3 linked regions of the Macaca fascicularis genome follow. The protein of the gene in region 2 interacts with the protein of the main gene of each other region in a pairwise test. Links are inferred from orthologs where the notes say so. Each region holds a gene or a part of one and is shown on either strand. Other genes may lie near its edges.

Region 1 (3,746 bases), about 74 Mb from region 2:
AGCCTTCAAGCGGCCCTTACGCAGGTGGGACAGAGGGCTCACCTCTTGTATTCTCGGTCATTTCTCACAACATCCCTTCAGCACTTGACCATATACCCACCAGTTACATAATAATATTGATATTACTCTTAATAAAGGAGTGTAATATTAAAGAGTAATAAAGAGTAATATTAAAAGCTAATGATTAATGTCTATACTAATGATTGATAATGTCCATGATGATCTCTACATCTAATTTGTATTATAACTATTCTTATTGTAAGTATATTCTTTACTATACTGAAACAGTTTGTGCCTTCAGTCTCTTGCCTCAGCACCTGGGTCATCCTCCACCCACACCTCTGAGGGGCTGACCTGCGCCCCACCTTCTGGAAGCTGGGAGGTTGGAAGAGGGAAGGCATGCAATGGACCCAGCACACAGCTGGGAACTTGAGGCACACCTAAGCCTTCACTTGTGCTGTGCGGAGTCCACACTTCCTTCCCCACTGGAGTCTCAAAACCTCCCTCACTCAACAGGGAGGTGCTGCTCAAAGTTCTGGGCACACATTAGGGCTGGGGAGGGGGCGGTGGAGAGGGGGCTCCAGCCTGTCCATCCACCAGACAAGGGGGCACCTGCCCCTCTCTCAGCCTGGTCTGGACCCGCCTCCCAGGCTCTGGCTGCAATGCCTTTCTCTTTCTCTTTCTTTCTCTTTGCAATTCCGTTGGGTCCTGCCCAAGACAGATAAAGACAGAGCAGCCTGTCTTTGTCTGAGCTTCCTCTGCCAGTGGGAGGGGCCAGAAGAAAACCAGAAAGAGGGCCAGAGTCAGAGAAACGGAAAGCACCCCAGGGTCTCCCACACCAGTGCCTGAGCAGGAACGGGGAGGGGCCATGACTCACAAGGCCCTGGGAGGTCACTTTAAAGAGGGCTGCCCAACTGCAAGGACTCTGTAAACGGGAAGAGAAGCCACAGCACTTCAGAAAAGAGTGGGACTGGACAAGCGTATCTAAGAGGCCGAACATGAATCCACAGATCAGGTACCTCTGCCCGCTCTGTCTGCCAGGCCCCTCCTGCCCCTTCCTGCCTGGTGGTCCTGCTGGGTCTCAGCCCTGGCCTCCCCCTGCCCCAGCCCCACCTCTGGGCTCCCTCCCCTCTGTCTCCCCCGCCGCCGACACTCCCAGCCAGGCTCCTTGCCCTGCTGTGTGGTCGCCCCACTGCTGCTTCTGAATGGGCCACCTTCCCCACCTGCACCAGCCCAGGCCCCCTGCTGAGACTCTCCCCAGAAAGTCACCACTGGGCTGGTGCTCCCCACCCTGGGAGGGTGCTCCCTCTGTGTGTTTCCCACCATTCCTGAGCTCTGGAACTGGGAGAATTGAACCAAAGGATGATTGGGTCAATCCGACATTTTGTTCTCAGCACTTTGATGAAATTTCTGTAAGATTTACTTTGTTTCAATATAAAGTCTTAGGAGAGGGTGTGGGGGAGGGAATGGTCTCTGTACCAGAAAATAAGGCATTTCTTCCAAAGATGCCACCAGTGTGAACAGAGGAGGATGCATATGACTCCAGACACAGGCTCCTCCTTCGTGAGCACCATTCCCCTTTTAAAATGACCCTGGTAACATGGAATGTAGAAAAAATATGATGATTAGGACAAATACCCTTATTTTACCCAGGGCACGGTGGCTTATGCCTGTAATCCTAGCACTTTGGGAGGCTAAGGCGGGTGGATCACTTGTGGTCAGGAGTTCGAGACCAGCCTGGCTAACATGGTGAAAGCCCGTCTCTACTGAAAATACAAAAAATTAGCCAGGCGTGGTGGCGGGCACCTGTAATCCCAGCTACTTGGGAGGCTGAGGCAGGAAAATCCCTGAACCCGGGGGCCGGAGGTTGCAGTGAGCCGAGATTGTGCCACTGCACTCCAGCCTGGGGGACAGAGCGAGATGCCATCTTAAAAAAAATAAATAAATAAAGGTAGCCTTGGCCTGGGGAATTCGGTGTGATATCATCATCGGACAGGTGAAATGGGAGGAAGGAACTGAGCTGAAATGTTCAAGCAATTATTTCAGGGTGAAGAGTTTTATTGTCTGTTGCATTTTCCTAATGGGTTGGGAGATGTGTGGCAGAAAAACTGGGAGGTTGAGGGTGTCCCATTGGTAGCCCCAGAGCTGGGGTTCCAGATGGGAGAGGTCACTGCAGCCCTGCTGCCCCTGCCAGCATCGCCTCCTCTTTCTCTCTCCCAGTCTTCCTGCCTGGGAAAGCAGCAGACATTCTCAGGACTGCGGAGGGATGGGGGAGGCCCAGAGCCCAGGGCCGTCTAGGGAGTGGTGTTCAGTGGGCATCAGCCCCCAGGACTCCGGCGGGGGGGGTCTCTGCATTGGGGTTTCTCTCTTGTGCCCTCAGAAACCCGATGAAGGCAATGGATCCAGGCACATTCTACTTCCAATTTAAAAACCTATGGGAAGCCAACAATCGGAACGAAACCTGGCTGTGCTTCACCGTGGAAGTTAGAAAGCAGCACTCAACTGTCTCCTGGGAGACGGGCGTCTTCCGAAACCAGGTAGCACCAAAGTCTTAGTTGCACCCCAAATAGGAGCTAAGCAGCTGGGAATGCAGAAAACACAATAAGTGACGTGCCTGGTGCGGGCTCTCCTGTGTGTACTTTCTTGCCACATGTCTTTTTTTTTTTTCTTTTTTCTTTCTTTTTTTTTTTTTTTTTTTTTGATATGGAGTCTCGCTCTGTTACCCAGACTGGAATGCAGTGGCGCTATCTCAGCTCACGGCAACCTCTGCTTCCCGGGTTCAAGTGAGTCTCCTGCCTCAGTCTCCCAAGTAGCTGGGATTACAGGTGCCTGCCACCACACCCAGCTAATTTTTTTGTATTTTTAGTACAAATGGGATTTCACCATGTTGGCCAGGCTGGTTTCAAACTCCTGACCTCAAGTGATCCACCAGCCTTGGCCTCCCAAAGTGCTAGGATTACAGGCGTGAGACACCATGTCTGGCCTCCTCCCCACATTTTTTAAGTCCGTGGCCCAGATCTTCCTCCCTGACTCTCCTGTGATCAGATTGTGGAGGGGTTTTGCTTCTTCCCAAAAGGCCTTGTTTAGCACCCAGCACCCTCACTCTTGACTTTGTTCCCCAAAATCTTGTCATGGAGTTGTACATCCGGCAGTCCTCGGGAAACAGCAGCTGTGGGAAGCAGGGGGTGTGGTGTCCAGCTCTGTGTCTGGGCCAGTCACTGCTGGGCTCGTGGGGCCGCCCCTGCCACTGCCCTGATTCCTCAGCAGAAGGCAGGCAGGGACCAAGGCAGACCCCAGAGGGCCAGGCCATAGCAGGGGCTGAGGATGCCTGGTGAATGGATAGCTGGGAGAAAATATGGCAGAATTCACACATAAGTCTATGAGACAGGGAAAGACTCAATAAAATAAAGAAGGAAGGGGCCGGGCACGGTGCAGTGGCTCATGCCTGTAATCCCAGCACTTTGGGAGGCTGAGGCAGGCAGATCATGAGGTCAGGGATTCGAGACCAGCCTGGCTAACATGATGAAACCCCATCTCTACTAAAAATACAAAGATTAGCCAGGTGTGGAGGTGCATGCCTATAATCCCAGCTACTCAGGAGGCTGAGGCAGGAGAATCGCTTGAACCTGGGAGGCAGAGGTTGCAGTGAGCCAAGATTGTGCCACTGCACTCCAGCCTGGGTGGCAGAGCAAGACTCCATCTCAGAAAAAAATAAAAATAAAAGAATAAAGAAGGAAGGAGAAGGA
Region 2 (3,646 bases):
TCTCAAAGTTATAGCCAGGAGCGTTGGCTCACACCTATAATCCCAGCATTTTGGGAGGCCGAGGCAGGCAGATTGCTTGAGCTCAGGAGTCCGAGACCAGCCCAGGCAAGACCCCATCTCAATTAGCCAGGAGGGGTGGCACACACCTGTAGAACTAGCTACTCAGGAGGCTGAGGTGGGAGGATCACTTGAGCCCAGGAGATCGAGGCTGCAGTGAGCTGTGATCACACCACTGCACTCCAGCCTGGGTGACAGAGTGAGACCCTGTTTCAAAAAAAAAAGTGTCAAGGTCATGGGTCATCAAAGATAGGGAAAGACTGAGGAACTGTCTCAGATTGGAAGAGACCAAGGAAACCACTGACGACTAAATTAGGATCCTCACTGTATCCTGCACAGCAAGGGGTGTTAGTGGGAAACTCAGGAAATTGGAATAAATCTGTGGCTTAGTTAATAGTACTCTACCAAAGTTGATTTCTTAGTTTGGGTAATTGTACCATAGCTATGTCAGGTGTTAACATTGGAGGACACTGGTTAAAGGATATATAGAAACTCTTTGAACTATTTTTGTAGGTTTTCTAAAAGTCTAAAATTATTTCAAGATAAAAAGTTTTTGAAAATGCAATGGGGTCACACTCCTTTCTCCACAGAAAACTCCTGTGTAACTGGCAGCTTAGTGCACTCCCTGGCACATCTTGACTGCCCCCAGGAGTCTGGAGACGGAACAGGAGGCGAGTCTCTCTGCCCTTCTCCCCAGAATTATCTTTTAAAATGTTTTCTTAGCATCTAGGTCAGGTACAGTAGCTCACACCTGTAATCCCAGCACTTTGGGAGGCTGAGGCAGGCGGATCACCTAAGGTCAAGAGTTCGAGACCAGCTTGGCCAAAATGGCAAAACCCCGGGCACGGTGGCACATGCCTGTAGTCCCAGCTATTTGGGAGGCTGAGGCAGGAGTATTACTTGAACCTGGGCAGCAGAGGTTGCAGTGAGCCAAGATCACACCATAGCATTCCAGCCTGGGTGACAGAGTGAGATTCTGTCTCAATTAAAAAAAAAAAATTCTTAGCATCCCAACCTAGAGAAGGAAGATTATCTTTTAACCAAAAAGTGCTAATTCTCAGTTTCACAGAAAAAGTGCCCGTGTGGGGAACCTCAGACCATGTTTTGGCTGTGGTCTTAGAATCCTGAAAACACCCTAACAATCCAGCCCTTTTCCCTACCAATGGAGAAACTGAGGCTCGGAGACACTAGGTCACCCAAAGTCAGTTGGTAAGCCCAGCCAGGCCCCCTGCCTCTCACGCTCAGATTGAATTAAGACCCAGGCTCTGGAGTCAGATCTAGGTTCAAATCCCAGCTCTACCACTTATTTTGCTATGGGATCTTGGGCAAGTTACTTGAGTTCTCTGGGCCTCAGTTTCCTTGATCATATGAGAATAATAATAGCACCTGCCTCATGTGTGTAAGGATGGAAGACCTCATTAGATAATGTGGCGATGCCTTCATCACTGTCAGCTACTATGACTTTCACATCTCAGTGCTCCATCCCAGCCTTCCAAAGGGGCTCCCAAGAGGACTGAGTCAACTCTTTTTTTTGTTTCTGTTTTTGTTTTTTTTTGAGATGGCGTCTCACTCTGTTGCCCAGGATGGAGTGCAGTGGCATGATCTTGGCTCACTGCAACATCTGTCTCCCAGGTTCAAGCAGTTCTCCTGCCTCAGCCCTCCGAGTAGCTAGGATTACAGGTGTGCACCACCACACTCGGCTAAGTTTTATATTTTTAGTAGAGACGGACTTTCACCAAGTTTGCCAGGCTGGTCTTGAGCTCCTGACTTCAAGTGATCCACCCACCTCTGCCTCCCAAAGTGCTGGGATTAAAGACCTGAGCCACTGCACCTGGCCTCAGTCAACTCTTCTCAGGGAACTAGACAGGGGCTGCTAGTTACTCCAGCCTCTCCACTTCTTGCCTAAGTTACTTTGCCTTCCTGGGCCTCGGTTTCTCTCCATCATGGCCCACCCCCTGGGTGTGTCTGTGGCTGGGGCTCTGCAACCACACTCACCTCTCACAGTCAGTGAAGACAAAGCGACACAGCTTGAGATCACGCAGGACCAGACCGTGCTGGTGACAGTGTGCCAGGGCGGTGGCCATCTGGCGGAAGAGCACAGCAGCCTCAGGCTCAGGGATGCGGCGGCAGCTTCGCACCAGGCTGTGCATGTCTCCGTGGGTCCGAGTGAAAAAGGCATAGAGGAGCTGGGTACCAGCCAGGACCTCAGCGGGCTGAGCCACATGCTTGTGCGGGGGCAGCCGCGCATAGGGCTCCAGCACGGCTAGGGCCTCATGGATGGGGTACACCTGTGGGCAGAGAATGGTGTGAGCACAGCTGGGGACTCCCGGGAGCTGAGGCTGGCATTGCAAACAGTCACAGCTGGCCTAGCTGTGCTACCATGTGCTAGGCATTGCACTAAGCGCTTCACTTCCCGAGTCATTCAGCCCTGACCCCACCCTGTAAGTAGGATGACTCACTCCATTTTACAGTTAAGGAAGCTGAGAGGCCACACAGCCAGCAAGCAGCACAGCTGGGATTTGAGCCTATGCACTCCATTGTCTGTGCTTTTTTGTTTTTTGAGACGGAGTCTGGCTCTGTCACCCAGGCTGGAGCGCAGTGGCGCAATCTCAGCTCACTGTAAACTCCGCCTCCTGGATTCAAGTGATTCTCCTGCTTCAGCCTCCCATGTAGCTGGGATTACAGGCGTGTGCCACCACACCCAGCTAATTTTTGTATTTTTAGTAGAGATGGGGTTTCACCATGTTGGCTAAGCTGGTCTCAAACTCCTGACCTCAGGTGATCCTCCTGACCTCAGGTGATCCTCCCGCCTCAGCCTTCCAAAAGGCTGGGATTACAGGTGTGAGCCACCGCACCCGGCCTTTGGTCTGTGCTCTTAACTGCTAGGCTATATGGCCTCAAACATCAGATAAATGAAAAGTAACAGGTCACCCAAACAGAAAAATAACCCTCAAAGCAGGAGGAATCCAGGAGGGCAGATGATGCAGAAGGCACCTGATGCTCATCACCATCACAGCTCCTGTCCTCTACACTTGACTGTCCACCCACCCTTTCATTCATTCAGTATGCTGGCCCTGGGCCTGTGTGGGCCAGCCACATGTCCAGCAGGACTGACAGCCATGGGCTCTGCTCTCCGGTGCCCGCTGGGAGGCCATGCAAACATGCCCAGAAACTAAATATTGACAAATGCTGATAAGCATTGCAAAGGAACAAAGAAAGATGCTGGAATAGAGGTGTTTTTTTGGTTTGTTTTTTGTTTTTTGAGACGGAGATCGCTCTTGTTGCCCAGGCTGGAGTGCAGTGGTGTGATCTCAGCTCACTGCAACCTCCGCCTCCCGGGTTCAAGAGATTCTCCTGCCTCAGCCTCCCGAGTAGCTGGGATTACAGGCACCTACCACCATGCCTGGCTAATTTTTTGTATTTTTAATAGAGACAGGGTTTTACCATGTTGGCCAGGATAGTCTCGAACTCCTGACTTCAGGTGATCTGCCTGCCTCGACCTGAGCTGGCGTGAGCCATTGTACCTGGCCTGGAATAGATTATTTTGGAAGGGGGCACCCATTTTAGAAAATATGGCTCAGAAGCCGGG
Region 3 (3,640 bases), about 75 Mb from region 2:
ATTTAGGTAGCAACAGGCACAACAGCCTTCACAGGAACTGTCGCCTTTGTGCCCAGCTCTAGCCAGAACCTGTGCAGGATGTCATCCTTCCACCCCATAAGGAGAAATGGAGGCCAACCCTCAGCTCCTGTCCTGCTTCAGCATCAATTCCGAAAAGGAGCCATTTCTTTCTTCAGGAACACGCTTCTACAGAACTCAGGGTAACAAGTGAAAACTAATCTTGTGTGCTTATCTCAAGGACTGTGCAAGCTTATCCAGGGTTTCAGGCGACAGCTGTTGGCATGAAGCCCTCTTGAATAAATAGGTGGAGGCCCAGGCTGTCCCTCCCTCCCAACCTCCCAGAGAGCTCCAGCCTCCTCCCTACACAACCAGCGAACTCACCTCTGGGTAAAGGACCCAACTTGCTACAGTTGGCCAACTATCTGGCTGTATGGCCCCATGAGTCATCAGGCATCGTGGCTTACACCTAGCAGGGCGAGCAGTTCCCACTCTGGGTACCCATCTTCAGTCCTGGACTGCCCTCCTCCCCAGATCTCACAAGGAATGTTATGACCAGTTTGGGATGGGTGGGTGGCGCCTCACTCGGCTAATTTGCCAGAAAAAGAATCCACACAAGTACTTTCCCTACAAAATAATTTATTCCAACACACAGCAACAGCAGAGACTCTATGTACAAGCACACTGACGCTCCTGACTACCCTCAACTAGGGGACCCTTTTCTTCCCCCTTGCCTTGCGGACCTCTTCTATCAAATCTTTCAGGTACTGGATCTCCTTGGCCAGGGAATCCGCCCTCTCTTTTAAAGCCTCATTCTTCTTTTCCAGCTCTTTGCACTCGCCAGTGAGGGCCTCCTGCTCCGCCCTCTTCTTCTGGCGGTACCTAGTGGCTGCTGTCTTGTTTTGCTCCATTTTTTTCAGCTTCTTATCCAGTTTCTCACCCTTTACTTTTGCTTCTACCATCTTCTCTCCAGGAGGGTCGTAAGGTTTGGGGCGGGCAGAGCCACAGAGAACACCTGGAGATGGGAGGCTCCTATTTGGAGAGCCCCTGGTAGACGGGCTATGCTGAGGAGAGCCCAGATAGGACTCCGGGCTCATACAGATGCCACTATCATTATCTGAGGGGGTGTCTTCCTCCTTTATGCACGGAGGGATCATGGCAACATAAGCAGTGGCATCTGGCTTCCTATCTCCTTCAGTGATATCCACTTCACTGCCCAGCTCTAAACTAAAGGAATGATCTGGAGTGGAGGACAGGACCCCTGGGGAAAGGGGAAGAGGTTGCAAGAAGGTGAAGGGGGCAACCTGGTCGGGTTTTGTTAAACTTTCTGGGAGATGGCCAATTGGGTTCACCGTCTGGGGGGGCTCCTTGTTAGTCTCCTGGACTAGGGGGGCAAAGAGATCACACGTGTCATCCAACGTGGTCAAAAGGTCATCTGGCATGGTTTCCAGGTCATCTATACCCAACAGGGCATCAAAGTCGAACTCCTTCAAATCCATTTTCTCCAACATCCAATCTGTCCCGGAGAAGGCATCCTCTGCAAAAGATTTGAATGACAGGGCCAAGTGAGTCAGATACAAAGATAACAGGCCCCTAACCCTAGATCCCACCCAGACGATGTGGTGGTGGCCCACTCACCCTTGCCGTTGTTGGAGGGACTGACCAACCCATCCACAGCCAGCCATTCGGAGGAGCCCGCCTTAGCCTTGTCGCTGGAGAACCCATGAGGTTTGAAGTGCTTGGCCACCTCCAGGTAGTCATCTAAGAGACCTAGGCTTTCTTCAGCCCCCAAACCCGACTGGTCGAAGGGGGACATCAAGTCCCCCACCAACACCTCGCTGCTCAGGAAGCTCATTTCGGTCATGTTGCGGTGCTTTGCTGGAATCGAGGAATGTGCTTAATTCGAAGATGTCTTTGTCGGTTACAGCAACGCTGCTGCTGAATGCCGTGAGAAGCCTGAATGGGAATCAGAAGCCAACTCCCATTAGAGGTTAGCTGGTCTGAGAATTTCATCTTTCCACTTACGAGGCGGGACTTCTCTAGTCCAGCCATCTACAGAGTCGGCAACGGGGCAGTTGCATCCGCCCCTCCCTGCTGCGGCTCAGGTTCCACAAAATGGACGCTCACGGAGACCAGGCGATTCTTCCACCGGCCACCAAGAGGAAGGCGCTCCGTCCCCGCGTCCAAATACGGCCAGGGCGGCCGCGCCCCGCCCACCGCCCGCCCTTGACTCACGCCCGCGGCGCCGCCCTGCCGCCGCCATCTTGGTTCTTGCCACGTTTCGCGGGGGGGGAAAGCCGAGACCCCTGGGACCCTTGGGGGATTCGGGGTCCGAGGGCGGCAGGGCCCCTGTGGAAGCAGTCCTGGCACCAGAATGCGCCTTCCCGATCCCGGGCACGCGAGCGTCTCGGGGACACCCAAGCAAAGACCACGCGTCCCGGGCGCTCGTAAAATCGCTTCCTCCTTGGCGGCACCGCCCTGGGCCCCAGGCCGCACCCCACCAACCCAAAACCTGCGCCGGCCCAGGGAGCACAGCTGGACGACCCGCCCTGGTACTCACGCCATGGCTTAAGCCGCTGGGGGGGGGTGCCGCTGCAGAGCCTGGTGCTGCTGCCGCCGCTGCAAAGGCCAATGCTGCCGCAGGCACTGCTGCCCCTAATACGCCATGGTGGCCGTGGACCCTGCGGGCGGGGAGGAGGGAAGGCGCACACGTGCGAACCAAACTACATTTGTGGGCGGACGAAGTAGAAATGGCCGCAACAGCCGCCCGCCGGCCCTTTATAGACTTCGTCTCTAAGGGGACGCAGCACCGACGCATCCTTCCGCCACGGCCACGTGACCATCTCCTCCCGCCCGCTCGTTTCCCTCCCTTTGACGCCCCAACCGTTTATGCCCAGCGCGTAGCTGTGACGAGAAAAGGTGTTTGTTCTTATGACCTCACGAAACGAGAGAGGTGCACTACTTTACTTCTATGATCAGAGTCCGTTCTTTCCTTCGCCGCCGGAGCGCGGAGTGATCTCGCAGACACGCCTCGCTTCCGGTGTCGGCGCGGTGGGCGGGGAGAGGTCGTTTTCCGGCGGAGAGTTTTTATTGTGAAGGCCGAGGACGCCAAGTTATCGCGCGAGGTGCTGGCGAAAAGCGCGCGTCAAGTTGATTGGCCCAGGCACGGTGAGTCATATATACCTCGAGCTCTTATTGGCTCAGGGCCCCAGGTGGGCGGCTGCTGGGAGAGGGATCACGGAGTCCGCGTGGGAAGGGTCGGGGTCTCGGGTCTCTGCCAGGCCTCAGGCCGGCCAGCCTGCTGGCCAGCTACAATCGCACTGGCTTCTGCCCCCAGGAGACCTTAGCCTAGCGCACCCCATAGTGGCCTCAGGGCCCAGCCCCTGCGGTCGGGTCCCGCCGCCCTCAGTGGAGGTCCGCCACTGGCGGCCCCGCCGCCACTCCCAGCCTGCGCGTCCTTCGGTTGCGGGGGCTAATTTCTGGCCTGCGGAAACCGCGGGGTTACCTGTTCCAAGCCTGAGTTTTCCAGAGACGCCATTCATAGCCGACACGGTGTTGCTGCCCCCGGGAGGTTGAAGGGGTCTCGAGAGGGCGCCTCGGGCCTGCCCACCTACACTCAAAGGCCAGCTGAGTCTGCATGGCT

What was found.
Region 1: the proteins of TRIB3 (region 2) and APOBEC3C interact in binary tests that used the Homo sapiens proteins (3 or more experiments, as listed by UniProt). The link is inferred for Macaca fascicularis from reciprocal best matches to the Homo sapiens genes TRIB3 and APOBEC3C.
Region 3: the proteins of TRIB3 (region 2) and ATF4 interact in binary tests that used the Homo sapiens proteins (3 or more experiments, as listed by UniProt). The link is inferred for Macaca fascicularis from reciprocal best matches to the Homo sapiens genes TRIB3 and ATF4.

Annotation. Positions count from the first base shown.
Region 1 is NC_088384.1:12,650,070-12,653,815, reverse strand, and holds the start of APOBEC3C (DNA dC->dU-editing enzyme APOBEC-3C), read left to right. Parts: upstream 1-976; 5' UTR 977-998; coding exon 999-1,015; intron 1,016-2,380; coding exon 2,381-2,537; intron 2,538-3,746.
Region 2 is NC_088384.1:87,020,603-87,024,248, forward strand, and holds part of TRIB3 (tribbles homolog 3), read right to left. Parts: intron 2,346-3,646; coding exon 2,053-2,345; intron 1-2,052. UniProt on the Homo sapiens protein: Inactive protein kinase which acts as a regulator of the integrated stress response (ISR), a process for adaptation to various stress. Inhibits the transcriptional activity of DDIT3/CHOP and is involved in DDIT3/CHOP-dependent cell death during ER stress.
Region 3 is NC_088384.1:12,124,525-12,128,164, forward strand, and holds ATF4 (cyclic AMP-dependent transcription factor ATF-4), read right to left. Parts: upstream 2,751-3,640; 5' UTR 2,558-2,750; intron 1,954-2,557; 5' UTR 1,862-1,953; coding exon 1,636-1,861; intron 1,535-1,635; coding exon 705-1,534; 3' UTR 620-704; downstream 1-619. UniProt on the Homo sapiens protein: Transcription factor that binds the cAMP response element (CRE) (consensus: 5'-GTGACGT[AC][AG]-3') and displays two biological functions, as regulator of metabolic and redox processes under normal cellular conditions, and as master transcription factor during integrated stress response (ISR).